2 linked regions of the Ovis aries genome follow. Each later gene encodes a partner of the first gene's protein in a complex. Links are inferred from orthologs where the notes say so. Each region holds a gene or a part of one and is shown on either strand. Other genes may lie near its edges.

The links. The genes of interacting proteins can lie anywhere in the genome.
Region 2: the proteins of ESPL1 (region 1) and PTTG1 are in contact, whole or in part, in a cryo-EM structure (PDB 7NJ1), measured with the Homo sapiens proteins. The link is inferred for Ovis aries from reciprocal best matches to the Homo sapiens genes ESPL1 and PTTG1. Residues at the interface, in NP_036423.4 of Homo sapiens: His402, Thr405, Val406, Tyr409, Ser461, Asn462, Tyr465, Tyr468, Arg505, Arg508, Glu512, Glu544, Thr547, Phe548, Arg551, Gln590, Lys593, Ala594, Val595, Arg596, Thr599, Gly600, Arg603, Gln634, Cys637, Tyr638, Trp683, Ile686, Glu690, Ile697; in NP_001269311.1 of Homo sapiens: Tyr111, Pro112, Glu113, Ile114, Glu115, Lys116, Phe117, Phe118, Pro119, Phe120, Asn121, Pro122, Leu123, Phe125, Glu126, Ser127, Phe128, Asp129, Leu130, Pro131, Glu132, Glu133, His134, Gln135, Ile136, Ala137, His138, Leu139, Pro140, Leu141.

Annotation. Positions count from the first base shown.
Region 1 is NC_056056.1:133,206,044-133,212,479, forward strand, and holds the end of ESPL1 (separin), read right to left. Parts: intron 4,620-6,436; coding exon 4,464-4,619; intron 4,354-4,463; coding exon 4,183-4,353; intron 4,059-4,182; coding exon 3,954-4,058; intron 3,785-3,953; coding exon 3,669-3,784; intron 3,403-3,668; coding exon 3,319-3,402; intron 3,162-3,318; coding exon 2,997-3,161; intron 2,712-2,996; coding exon 2,510-2,711; 3' UTR 2,346-2,509; downstream 1-2,345. Other genes in the region: PFDN5 (prefoldin subunit 5), read right to left, coding at 141-172, 475-577, 784-855. UniProt on the Homo sapiens protein: Caspase-like protease, which plays a central role in the chromosome segregation by cleaving the SCC1/RAD21 subunit of the cohesin complex at the onset of anaphase. During most of the cell cycle, it is inactivated by different mechanisms.
Region 2 is NC_056058.1:69,562,381-69,570,480, reverse strand, and holds the start of PTTG1 (securin), read right to left. Parts: upstream 4,110-8,100; 5' UTR 3,998-4,109; intron 3,596-3,997; 5' UTR 3,586-3,595; coding exon 3,495-3,585; intron 2,587-3,494; coding exon 2,402-2,586; intron 672-2,401; coding exon 578-671; intron 1-577. UniProt on the Homo sapiens protein: Regulatory protein, which plays a central role in chromosome stability, in the p53/TP53 pathway, and DNA repair. Probably acts by blocking the action of key proteins.

The DNA of each region.
Region 1 (6,436 bases):
GAGCTAAGCTTGTGTTAACAGCAGTCTCAGAACCATCTAGGCACTCTGGAATAATCAAAATCTCCCGCTCTTTTTTGAAGGTTGTTAGGTGTGAGGGAGAAAACGAGAGGGCAGGGAAAAGGCTCCTGCGGAAAGGATACAGAACTCGTCAGTGGGACAAGTAATTCTTTACCTGTGAAAGCAATGAAGACAAACATGTGGGGAAGGTTGGCAGCTCCAACTTTTAAAGGGAGTTTCGAAGCGGCACGGCGCCCGAAAACTATACGAAAAGGACGAAAATAGAGGCAACAGGAGCAGAAAAATGTCCTGGACATTTCAACTCTAGATAAGCAACATGCAAAGGGCTCCTGCAGCGGTATACAATACGTGATGGACTGCTCTCTCGTCTCAGGTAAGAAAACTGGATTAGGAGGCGGGAAGAGAGAAGCCGGCTCGCCACATCTCCCAGGTTCCCTTCGCACGCCTACCCCGTACCCTCGTTGTTTTTCTTCAGCACGTTCAGACAGTCCTTGGCTTCCACATACTTGGTCTGAACCACCTTGAGCTGGGCAATGGACGTGGACAAGAACTCCACCTCCTACAGAGAACAGGAATGAGGGTCAGGGTGGGGGCTCGCGGGAGAAGCGGGCACTGCCAGAGAAGGGGCGGGTCCTGGGACGGGGTGGGGGTTTCGCCTGGGAAGGGAATTCTCCCCAAGAGGGGAAGAGTGGGGGGCAAGGAAGTACGCGCTGGGGGGGAAGGGAAGTGAGGCGGGAAAGGGGTGCTTTTGGAGCCTATCCCCACCTGGTCCAGTTGGTTCTTCAGCATTTCTAGCTGCGGCAGATTCAGCTCGGTGATGTTAACCGACTGCGCCATGTTGGGAAGGAGGGCTTATGAAGCGGAAACCCTCCGGGAGAGCAACGCTCTAGCCGTCCTCTGCGTATCTCGATGGCTACGCCTGGAGGCCTCGCAGTGCTAGACGTCTCTATGGTCCTTCAACCCAGAAGAGAAGGAAGCTCGCGGCGGGGCGGAGGGTACGGAATCTTCGGCGTGACTTCCGATGGAATAGAAAGGGCTGCGGCGTTTTCTTTTCGCAAAATATCCCAAGCCTCGCATAATCAAGTTCTAACGAACAGGATTCTTATGCTCAAGAAACTTAATCTTACTCAGGCCTTGGGACTTCCCTGGTGGTCCAGTGGTTACGAATCCGCCTGCCAATGCAAGGGAAAGGGGTTCCATCCCTGGTGCGGGAAGATCCTACATGCCAAGGATCAACAAAGCCCCTTGTGCAGCAACTGCTGAGCACAGCTCCTGCAAGGGGCAGCTACTGAAGCCTGGGCGCCTAGAGCCTGTGCTCGGCAACAAGAGAAGCCACCGAAGTAAGTCCACACACCCACTATGAAGTGTAGCCCCTACTCCCTGCCACTAGAGGAAACCCGCCCAACACCATAACCACAGCGGTGGTATAAACCTGGTGACAACAGGCAAGGAAGAAGCTTGGGAAGTTCTAGGAGCAACGGACAGGAGGGACAGTAGCATTATGAAAGGGATGCTTCGCGCAGATGAAGCCAGAGTCTGGCGGTTGAGAGAACAGGAAGGAGGCACGTTATCACCCACAGTACAGCAGTAGCTTTATTAATCAACACAGTGTTTTACCATGTGCTAGAAGTGAAGGATCCATGAGTGTAAGATACATAGTTCTGAGCTTAACAATCTAGTTGGGGAGAGGAAAATCATACATAAGTCGCAAAACTTCCCAATGTGTATGTGTGTGTGAGTTGTTCAGTCGCGTCCAACTCTTTGCGATCCCGTGGACTGTAGCCAGCTAGGCTCCTCCAGGCAAGAATACTGGGGTGGGTTGCCATTTCCTTCTCTGGGGGAATCTTCCAGACCCAGGGATTGAATCCAGGTCTCCTGCATTGCAGGCAGATTCTTTACCATCTGAGCTACAAAAACTCTCCAGAACCTGCTGCTAAAGTGCATGGCACTGACAAGCGTATTAGCTGAATGTGGGGGAAGGACAGTATCCACTTAGGAGGGGGCAGGGCAACTGAGGCAGTAAAGCTAATGTCATTCTGAGGATACCAGAGGCAGGAAGTCAAGATAGATATGAGTGTACCTGGCCAAGACATTCTCAATGGATCTATCTCTACCTTTCCTCAGGGCTTTGTCCCCACTTAGATCATTTTGATGCCCTGCTCTCCTTTAGCTTTGTCTGCTGAGGCCAAGCCAGGTCCTGTGGTTCGCCTTTCTTCCCAATGCTCTCAGACTTGGACTGTTGCAAGTTATTCTTATCTATAGAACCATATAGTGGGAAGTGGGCATCTTATCTTCAAATGTTCTCAGAGAAACTACACAAAACAGGATTTTAAGTAACGTATCTTTATTATATTAAAATTAAATCAAAACGAAATCTTTCATGTAAAACACTGGGGAAAATCACTTAAAATATTTATCTTCAGGGCCAAACCTAAGTTTGGAGGTAGAATAGTCATATAGCTTCTATCGGCAACAGGAGAGCTCCAAGGAGTCACTGCAGGGAGACAGGCAAGCCATAGGCTACAGGTGCAGCCCCAATAAGGTACTTGAGTCGCGGAGCCTGGCGGGCCTGGCTGACATAGTACAGAAGGGGGGCTCCTGAACCTGCTCTAAGCCATCCCTGCAACAGAGCCTCTGTGTAGCGGTCAATGTCACGGTCAGTCACGTCCCAGAGGTTACCTAGAAACAGGGGGCTGGGAAAAGAGAGGGAAGAAATACAAAGTAAGGGCTCAAAAACGGAACCTAGGGCAGGCATGATTTGTGGTGGTGAATGAGTTGAGAGGGATTAAACCAATGAGAAAGCCCCTTGGCCCATAGTTCCAGGAGGAGGATAGATGATGACAAAGGGGTAAAAGCCCAAGTATGCCAGGGAACTAGGATGGGAGGAAAATGGGGCACAAAAGAGCAAGGATTTAGAGTTCAGACCTGGGAAAGCACTTGGGGTCAGGACCTTGAATAGATTGCCCCTCGAGACTCACCAGCCAGCCATGATATACTTGAGCACAATGCCAGCCCCCTCCAGGTTTCCATGCACAGCCAGGGCTGCGCTGCTGCAGCCGAACAGCAGGGTCACTGCCCGGCAGCTCAGCCGCAGGACAGCCTGCCCATCCAGGAAGCGGGCACCGGCGCCATGCCCTGCATAGCTGAGGCAGAAGGAGGTGAGATGAAACTGACCTCACAGGGCCAGGCCTCCAGAGTTGTCCAGAGTCAGTCAGGGGCTCCAAAGCCCCAGAGCAGACCGTGATGATACCCACCCTCTGGGACTGTCCCTTTCCCCACCTCCCTGCCCTGAGCACTCACATGTACAAGTCACGCTCCGTCAGGGCCGTTTGCACCTGTTCCGGGCTTGGCACCTCCCCAACCACCCCTTTCCAGCCAGCTTCACTGCAGGGAAAAGGCAGTGAAAAGGGACTTAGCTGGAGGTGCAGTGGTTAAGACTGCACTCCCAGTGCAGGGGGCGGGGGATCAATCCCTTGTCGGGGAGCTAAGATCCCACACGCTGTGTGGTGCAGATGGGTCATGTGGCAAAAAGGGCAGAAGGAACACTGGGAAGGAGGTGGGCTGCAACATTTGATTCCAGAGAAAAGGACATTTACTCCTGTGTTGCGTCTACCGTTCCCCACCACCCTTCTTACTCTTCTCCCCCTGACCTGCTAAAATGGGCTCGGAATTGCTCCTCTGTGCTTGACAGGTTATTGTGAGGGTTCAGGACGTAGAAGGTACTTCGAGGATCCACTCCTTGGCTCAGCACTGATGAGGCCCCGGACTGATGGAGATCCCAGTGATCAGCATCCCAGTTTGGTCAGAGCACCCAAGCTTCAAACAACCCAAGTCCCTTTCCATTCTTAAGACCACCTTCCTCTCTTGCGATGTCTCTCTGCCTTTTCTTGTCCAATTACCCATCACTCCCACCTTCCATTCCCGGAACCCCACACCTCTTTGATGACGGAGTAGCTGAGTAGGAATCGGAAGGAGGGCAGCCGAGTGACAGGCAGGGCCCGGAGGCTGGGCATGCTCTCCCACGGCAGCTTCTGTAGGTCCTGGGCAAAAAGCACTCAGACATTACTGTCCTGAGGCAGGGGTATGCAGGAGGCAGGAGGAGCATGGTTGAGAGGAAGTGCCCACTGCCCACAGATGCTACCCATGTGGCCCCTGGCTCTTTACCTTGTCCAGCACTAACACGAGATGCCTACTGCTTGTTGCCATCTGACCTTGGAGACGCCCTACTGCCTCACCCAGGAGCTCTTGGGCTCGGGCTGGCCGGGCTGGGCACAGCCCATAAGCCAGGGCCTGCACGTCCTGCGGGGTGAGGGTACTGGCACCGCTGAGCATGATCTGCAGGGGACCAGTGGTCAGTGAGTACAAGAGCTCCCCTTTCCACCCGCAGTGGCAGGTGGGAAAGAGGCAAGGCGTACTTCATCCTCTTCCCTGATTTCTCAACTCACTCTCAGCAGAGTGGGGTCGGGATATTTCCAGCCACATTGCTGTAGTGACTCTTGTAGACGGGAGGCCTCCTGGACAAGGCCAGGGTCCTCACTGGATGGCAGCAACAGCCCCCGCCAGCAGCCCAGCACGTACTTCTCTAGGGAAGTGGTGAGAACCTGGATGCACAACAGAACCGTCAGTGAGGGAAGAAGCCAAGTTTCTCTCCCCACCCTCTTGGAGACAAGGAAATGCATCTTCCAATGAGTGGGTGTGTCTTATTTATCTTACAACCAACATAAAAGGCAAGAGAGAAACATTTTTCATTTGCTCAGACTCTAAGAGAGTATTGATAAGGTAAGATTTGTAATAAATCACTACATTTGGATAAATACAAACAGGTGGGCAAAAGCTAAGTCAGGAAATGAAATGAAAATTATGGCTGGGAGTCTGATGTGCTGCTGTGCTTAGTTGCTCAGAGGTGTCCAACTCCTTGAGACCTCCTGGACTGCAGCCCGCCAGGCTCCTCTGTCCATGGGGATTCTCTAGGCAAGAATACTGGAGTGGGTTGCCATGCACTCCCCTGGGGAATCTTCCCAAACCAGGGATTGAATCCAGGTCTCCTGCATTGCAGGCGGATTCTTTACCGTCTTAGCGACCACCAGGGAAGCCCAAGAATACTGGAGTGGGTAGCCTATTCCTTCTCCAGGGGGTCTTCCTGACCTAGGACTCGAACTGGGGTCTCCTGCATTGCAGGCAGATTCTTTACCAGTTGAGCTACCTGGGAAGCCCTGGGAGGCTGATATTTGGCCTTAAATTCTTATTTTGTACTCATCTTTAAACATTTCATTGCCAAAACCCCTTCAAGTCTTCGGCTCTTGTTTATTTGGTTTTGTTTTATTGGTTTTTTTTGTTTGTTTGTTTTTGCTGCACCACATATATGTGGAATCTTAGTTCCCAGACCAGGGATTGAACTGGTACCCCTAGCAGGGGAAGTATGGAACTTTAACTGCTGGACCGCCAGGGAAGTCCCCTTGTGCTCGTGGTTCCCAAGTAATAATTTTTATTTAGGCCTACACTTCCAGAAACAACAGTTAGAACTGGACAAGGAACAATGAACTGGTTCAAAATTGGGAAAGGAGTACGACAAGGCTGTATACTGTCACTCTGCTTATTTAACTTATATGCAGAGTACATCATGTGAAATGCCAGGCTGGATGAATCACAAGCAGGGATTAAGACTGATGGGAGAAATATGAACAACGTGAGAAATGCAGATGATACCACTCTAATGGCAGAAATGGAAGAGGAACTAAAGAATCTCTTGATGAGGGTGAAAGAAGAAAGTAAAAAAGCTGGCCTCAAACTCAACATGAAAAAAATTAAGATTATGGCAAACAGAAGGGGAAAAAGTGGAACCAGTGACAGATTCTCTTCTTGGGCTCCAAAATCACTGTAGACGGTGACTGCAGCTATGAAATTAAAAGAGGCTTGCTCCTTGGAAGGAAAGCTATGACAAATCTAGACTGGGTATTAAAAAGCAGAGATATCACTTTGCCAACAAAGGTCCATACAGTCAACGCTAAGCTTTTTCCAGTAGTCATATATGGATGTGAGAGTTGGACCATAAAGAAGGCTGAGTGAGAAGAACTGATGCTTTCGAATTGTGGTTCTGGAGAAGACTCTTGAGAGTCCTTTGGACTGCAAGGAGATCAAACCAGTCAATCCTAAAGGAAATCAACCCTGAATATTCATTGGAAGGACTGATACTGAAGTTGAAGCTCCAATACTTTGACCACCTGATGTGAAAAGCCAATTCATTGGAAAAGACCCTGATGCTGGAAAAGACTGAAGACAAAAGGAGAAGCAGGTGGCACGGGATGAGATGGTTAGATAGCATCACTGACTCAATGAACATGAATCTGAGCAAACTCCAGGGGACAGTAGAGGACAGAACAGCCTGGCATGCCATAGTCCATGGGGTCGCAAAGAGTCT
Region 2 (8,100 bases), on another chromosome or scaffold:
AAAGGATTTGTTCAGTGTCTGACTTACCCTCCAAATCTTGGGCTTCCTCAGAGTGGGGCCTGCCTTGTTATCCACTACATCCTAAGCCAATAGCGCCTGGCATACAGTCTACTCTCCTCAATGTGAGTACATTAAAGCTTGAAAAAAGCCGACTCTATTATAGAAAATATTTCAGATACATGTAGGAGGTTGAAGAAGTCAAAAAGCACATGTTCTCACTGGCTATGTGGATTTTTCAGGCTTGCTTTTCACTGTTCAACTTGACATCAAGTCCATTTTCTAAAAGTGGGCTTGCTAGGAAGGCTGTCTGCTAACACTGAACAAGTAATCTCCCCTTGGGTGGTTTTAGCTTTTGAGGACAAGAATGTTTTCCCATCTTTGCTCTGATTCCTCTTCTGAATTAAGATAATGCCTTAAAAATAAATCCACAAGTTACCTGTCCAAAGCACCCCAGATTCAGACAGCCTTGTTATAGTTTTAGATCACAAATCATATTCAGAGCCATATCAACTTACAGTTGAATTGGATCCTAAGAGAAACTGAAAGCTAAAGCATTTGGACAATATCAAAAGAGTACCTAATGGATTGAAGGGAAAGAATTTTTCTATTTCTGGATAGGTGTCATCTGAGGCAGGAACCGAAGTTTTTGCTTTAACAGTCTTCTCAGTAATCTAAAAAAAACCCAAGAAAACATCCATTTAAGAGTGGGAGCCTTGTCAACTGATTAGTACATGAGATTAGAGAGATTCTTCAAGACATGGGATTGCTTCATCATATTTTAAATTTGTTTTCAATTTCTAAGAAACCATAATCCCTCATTCTCAAAATCACATACAAATACAATTCAGCAATCAATTATCATGGCTCAAAAGGTAAGGATGAAATACAAGTATTAGCACCTGTTAGCATAAATCATCAAAATACAGAGCAGAGTCTGTTTTTAGTCGGTAAGTCGCGTCTGACTCTCTTGCAATCCCAAGGACTGTGTAGCCCACCAAGCTTCTTTGGACGTGAGATTTCCCATGCAAAAATACTGGAGCGAGTTGCCATTTCCTTGTCCAAGGGATCTTCTCCACCCAGAGATCAAACCTGAGTCTCCTGCATTGCAGGTGGATTCTTTACTACTGAGTCACCAGGGAAGCCCCAGAGTAGAGTTAATTCAGAGCTAATTGACTCAATCGCCCAACCTAACCTAATAGAAGAGAAAATGGGCATAAATCACCCAGAATAGAAACTAATCCTAGAAGCCATTTTTGGCTTTTGGAAATGTGATTTTCCATCAGTGTTACCTAAATTACTGGGTTAATATTAAAAACCAATTTGTTTTCCTCAAATACACAACACTGAGTAAGAGGCAGTCAAAGACAGTCAAGGACTTTAAGATGCCCACCGTGGATAATTCTCTAGTCTGGAACTGGTAGGCAGTCCATGATGGTGGTGGGCCAAAATGGAAGCTTGTAGCGTCTTGATTTATTCTCACATCACATGTGCATGCCTAGAGGAAATTACTAGGACAAGGCTTCCCACATTTCAGTTCTGTCACATTCTCATCATTTTTGCTATATCCTTGCAATACTTACACTTAGCATTTCTCTTACTCAACTCAGTTTTTTTTAAAAAGACATCTTTATCCTAAAACCACACCTAACAGTTTGACATCAAGTATACTAGTTGTTTTTTTCCTAATACACATTGAAACAATTACTGAAATGCAGTGCTAATTCACATGCTGAAGTCATCTTTCACAGCCAAGTCCTCTCGGTCTAGGATGCACTGCCCTACAGTTTGTAAACACATGTACAAAGGTCAACATGCTACCAAGTTATAACCTACAAAGCTAGTGCTTGCTCTGAAAGGAGGGGAAGAGAATGGCAGCACCTGAGCTGTTATACTAGCATCATGACTTCTTGCAAAGTACCCTCTCTCACAGTACTCAAAAGCTTCCCTGGTGGCTCAGAGGTTAAAGTGTCTGCCTCCAATGTGCGAGACCTGGGTTCGATCCCTGGATCAGGAAGATCCCCTGGAGAAGGAAATGGTAACCACTCCAGTATTCTTGCCTGGAGAATCCCATGAACAGAGAAGCCTGGTAGGCTACAGTCCACAGGGTCACAAACAGTAGGACACAACTGAGCAACTTCACTTTCACTTTTCACAGTACTCACTGGTCTGTTTTAAGACACTTGTTAAAGACAGGTGAGGCAAAAATATTAACCAGCTGCTCCTGATACATGTGATCTCAAGGTACAGAGAAGTCAATAAAGACTGTATGATGATTCTCTTCTGTTAATCTAATTTGCTAGTCTCTATTTCCTTCCATTCACAGAGGAGAGTGTCAGGTAAGATGCCAGTAGTCATTTTAAGAGTCAAAGTGCTTTAGTCTTTAATTATAGCCAACTTTTACCTTTTTGGTAGAGAAAGTTTTCTGTTTCTGTTTGAGCGGTCCATCCGTCTTAACTGATTTTTCTGTAGCTCTGTTGACAGTTCCCAAAGCCTTTCTCGCAGTTTTTGGTAAAGCTGGTGGAGCATCAAACATTTTGCCAACACGTGGTGTTGAAACCTGAGATCTCCCATCCAAAGCTTTGACTGCTAAAGAAAAAGTCTTACCATAAGATCATTCCAGCAGTAAACACCTGTGCAACTTGAAAGCTGACTGTGCCTATCAACTTGGCCTAATTCTCACAGCCAAACTTAACCCCCATTTTTGACAGTGGCATGGTCCTATGCCTAACACCATTTCAGTTCACTACTCTCTTAAATAATCTCTTTAAGATACTGAACATGAGGGCTTCTCTGGTTTCTCAGTAGTAAAGAATCCACCTGCCGATGCAGGAGACGGGGGTTTGATCCCTGATCCAGGAACCCCCACATGCCACAGAGCAACTAACTCCATGTGCCACAACTATTGAGCCCACGTGTCTCAACTGCTGAAGTCAGCATCCCCTAGAACCCATGCTCTGCAACAATACAAGCTACTGCAATGAGAAGCCTGGGCATCACAAATAAAAAGTATCCCCTACTCATCGCACCTAGAGAAAAGGCCAGGTAGCAATAAAGACCCAGCACAGCCAAAAATAAATAAATAACTTAAATTTTAAAAAAAGATACTGAACATGAAGAGACCCATAAGTACTCGGCAGTAAGAGTATTGGGTAAACTCGACTCCCACTGGGCTTCCCAGGTGGCGCTCGTGGTAAAGAACCCGCCTGGCAATACAGGAGATTTAAGAGACTCCGGTTCAATCCCTGGGTCAGGAAGATCCCCTGGCGAAGGGTATGGCGACCCACTCCAGTATTCTTGCCTGGAGAATTCCATGGACAGCAGAGCCTGGCGGGCTACAAAGTCCATAGGGTCGCAAAAAGTCGGACATGACTGAAGCGACTTAGCACGCACGACTCCAACTGCCCACAAAGTATATTTGGGCCTTCCCCAGCTCCAAGCCACACCCACCACTGATTCACAATACCTGTGTACCTGATAGCCGCCTGTATACTTACAAGGCACAGACCCCAGCTTCAGCCCGTCCTTAGGAGCCACATGGCTGCCTGGTTCTCCATTTTCCTTATCAACATAGATCAGAGTAGCCATTCTGGATCAACTAGAGGTGTGAAACACTCGTTAAACCTTGGGAGTTAGGGAAGATGAAAGAAGCTAAAGTGTAGCACTGACCCAACTTTCTACCCTAGGGACATCTACGCAAAAACAGGAGCTAAGCAGAGGTAGAAGCCGGATCTTGAGCCAACAAGCATTTAACCCAGCTCTTAATTCTTGACGCCTGCGTCAGGGACCCTAAATTCCTTAAGAGTTGGCGGTCTGGGACTGGCACAGGCCCTGGTACTCATTGGAACCAAACTGCCGTGGGTCGCGTACGCAGTTCAAAACCGTGGCTCAAGCCAGGCGAGCGCGTCTGACGTTTCAGGGAAGTCCCAGCCCCCAAATCCCAGGCCCCGGGTCCCAGACACCCGGACCCCGGTTCCCAGGCCCCGAACGCCACACACACACAAAGCCTACTCCCGCTTCCTAAGCCGCCGGACCGTGCCCGCCCAACCACTCGGTACCGCTCGGTTCACCCACATTCGGAGTAACAGCCAAACTCTCGCAAGACTCTTCTCCACCGGACGCGCCAGACTCCGCGTTTAAACCACAACTTACACCCCTATTGGTTCATCCATCCAGGAGGCGGGACAGGGGCGGGGCGGAGGCTCCGGAAGAACCAATGGTAGGAACCTAAGCTCCCTGGGCTCCGCCCTGAAAGCTTTTCCCGGCAAGTTCTTCGTTTGTTCCCCGGGAGGAAAAAAAATCAAAGCCTCTCACAGCTTGGTCGTGGATGTCTATTAATGGTTGTTTTTTAATCTCCCCCCCAGAGAGATAGAGGAGAGTAGGTACAGTCTTTAATTCCAAGAAAGTTATTATTAATGTTATACCAAAATACAGAGTTGGCTTTTGCGATTTTTTTTTCCCTGAGACTCTTTGGTGTGCGACGTGAAAATGAAAGTCGCTCAGTCGTGTCCGACTCTGCGACCCGATGGACAATACAGTCCATGGAATTCTCCAGGCCAGGATACTGGAGTGGGTAGCCTTTCCCTTCTCCAGGAGATATTCCCAACCCAGGGATCGAACCAAGGTCTCCCTCATTTTGAATTGATTCCTTTATCTTGTTTAATATATTTCCATTTACCATAGAAGGGCTTCCCTTGTGGCTCAGCTGGTAAAGAATCTGCCTGCAATGCGAGAGACCTGGGTTCTGTCCCTGGGTTGGGAAGATCCCGTGGAGAACGGAAAGGCTACCCACTCCAGTACCCTGGCCTGGAGAATTCCATGGCAGTCCATGGGGTCGCAAAGAGTCGAATAGGAGGACTGAGCGACTTTCACTTCACTTTACCATAGAAAGGACCTCCCTTGTGGCTCAAGTGGTAAAGGGTCCACCTACAACGCAGGACCCCAGGGTTCCATCCCTGGGTTGGGAAGATCCCCTGGAGAAGCGAAAAGCTACCCACTCTAGTATTCTGGCCTGGAGAATTCCATGGACTATCCATAGGGTTGCAAAGAGTTGGACAGGACTGAGCCACTATCACCTCACTTCACCATAGAAAGGAAAAGGTCACCAACTTTTTAAAGCACAATTTCATTATACTTTAATTTCATTGCAGGCGGATTCTTTACCAGCTGAGCCACAAGGGAAGCCCAAGTCTTTGGTGTCCAAGACATTTTTAAATGAGAAGATAGTGAACTTCAAAAAGTCAAAGTGAGATGGTGACAGAACTATTTTCCTAAAGTCTTGAAGTAATCAACTGTTTTTCCAGAGAGTAGATACACCGGATCAAATTAAAAAGAGGCAGCACGGGAGGAAAGGCATTGTAGTCATTGGGGAAATGACTATGGAAGATGAATTTCAAATTAGAGGTATAAAAAATACATATATAGTCAATAAATAGTCAGTGGGAGGAAAACCCATATTAGATCTAGAGAATATTAACAGAGCACAATTAAACATTAAGAAGAAATGAAAGTACAGATAAAGTGGCAAGTTTGTGTCATTCTGTTGTGTTTGTGATTAAGAATGGAGTGATTCTGAAACTAATACAATATTGTAAGTCAACTAGACTTCAATTTTTTTTAAGTGTACTGATTTTTTCCTAATTGCAAGACTATCAGTATTTCAGGCTAGGATGCTATCTCCATTATACAGAATCTGTTGTTCAGTTGCTCAGTCGTGTCTGACTCTTTGCAACCCTAGGAACAAAACAATGACCTAAGAGTACACAATTCTGAACTTGAAAGTCTATCAGTTAATAAGGACTTTGTTTTTGGCTGCGCTGCGCAGCATTCAGTATCTTAGTTCCCCAACCAGGGATGGGACCTGTGCCCTTTGCAGTGTAAGAGCAGAGTCTTATCCACTGGACTGCCAGGCAAGTACCAATATACTTACTTTAAACCTTTAACATCTCAACAATATATTCATCAAAGCTGGTGGGGAAGGACAGAAGGGTGAACAAGAGAAAAACAACAGAGGAATTATAAAGACATACAAAATGAATTCCAATTTCCAAGACATGGAGAAATTTTGCTTTGAAAAGTTAGTGACCTTTTCCTTTCTATGGTGAAGTGAAGTGAAAGTCACTCAGTCCTGTCTGACTGTTTACAACTCCGTGGATAGTCCATGAAATTCTCCAGGCCAGAATACTGGAGTGGGTAGCCTTTCCCTTCTCCAGGGGATCTTCCCAACCCAGGGATCGAACCCAGGTGTCCCGCATTGCAGGTGGACTCTTTACCAGCTAAGCCACAAGGGAAGTCCTTCAATAGTAAATGGAAATATATTAAACAAGATAAAGGAATCAATTCAAAAGACCAAGGATGATCTGTGCCATCCAAACTCTACTCCCAACAGGTCACCAGATACTTTTTAACTTAGCAGGAAAGTTGGGAGGGAGGAGTTAAGCCTACATTACTCTTTCACCAAAGCCTTAGCACTACAACTGGCATAGATATGTTTCCAAATATATACCAGTTCATTGTCCCTTCTTCCCTGGCATTTCAGGGCCAAAACATTGAATGGCTCATTCATTCAATAAATATTTATTAAATGTTAGTCACTGTGCTAGACACCAAGAGGAGGAAAAGTGCGTATCTTTTTTGCCCTTTCCATATCCTCTTTTATCCCTAGTTTATTAGTTCAGTTCAGTCACTCAGTAGTGTCCGACTCTTTGCAACCCCATGGACTGCAGCACGCCAGGTTTCCCTGTCCATCACCAACTCCCAGAACTTGCTCAAACTCATGTCCATTGAGTCGGTGATGCCATCCAACCATCTCTGTTGAACACTTCTCCTGCCTTCAATCTTTTCCAGCATCAGGATCTTTTCCAGTGAGTCAGTTCTTTGAATCAGGTGGCCAAATATTGGAGCTTCAGCTTCAGCATCAGTCTTTCCAATGAATATTCAGGACTGATTTCCTTTAGGATTGACTGGTTTGATCTCCTTGCTGTCCAAGGGACTCTCAAGAGTCTTCTCCAACACCACAGTTCAAAAGCATCAGTTCTTCAGTACTCAGCTTTCTTTATGGTGGAACTCTCACATCCATACATGACTACTGGAAAAACCATAGCTTTGACTAGACCTTTGTAACCCTCCCATTATTTCCTCCCTATATCTCCTTCTAAGTGCCTCAGCTCTGAATTACATCATTAGCACACAAAAATATTTATATTGAAACCAAGTCTGCACAACATTGAGAAAAAATTCAATCAAGTAAATTTGAAGATCTAATTGGTTTTATTAAATGACTCAAGAATCAGACAGCCTCCCACCTAGAAATCAGAAGGGTGCTCCAAGGGGTTGTACAAACTGAGAAATTTTTAGAGGAAAAAGGGTGGGGCATGGGAGCTATTAAAAGAAAGGATTATTTATAGGCCAGGACCTCTTTGGAGAGGAGAAAGGAAGGAACAGCAAGGTTTTCACAGCTAATTGCCTCTTCTTCCACTGAGAGGCAGAGTGGGGTTGAAGGGATAATGGAAAGGGGCCACGTGCCAGATTACTTCTTCAGTACTGACCGGGAAATTCCCAACTGGTTGGTTGGATTACATTTCTGGTGATAGTATTTTGAAGTTGTGATTAGGTTAGTTATCAAATATAAGTTTTCTATCAAGGGCTTTAGCACAAGTAAAGCCATTTTGGGCCTGTGGCTTTTCTCTTTAACAGCACCTACAGCTTCCAAGTGGGAATTCTTTATCTCCTGATATTTTTGGATGCAAAGTTTCTATCTCCCTAGGCTAAGTCTCCCCTCCTACAATACAAAGCACTGTTTCCCAAGGTAACTGTAAAATGCCACAACCAACTCTTTTGTTTTCTTACTAATGATGCCCCAAACTCACTTTGCTATGCCCTGGACTGTTACTGTTGCTGCTACTGCTAAGTCGCTTCAGTCCTGTACGACTCTGTGCGATCCCATAGACGGCAGCCCACCAGGCTCCACCGTCCTAGGCAAGAACACTGGAGTGGGTTGCCATTTCCTTCTCCAATGCATGAAAGTGAAAACTGAAAGTGAAGTCACTCATTCGTGTCCGACTCTTAGTGACCCCATGGACTGCAGCCTACCAGGCTCCTCCA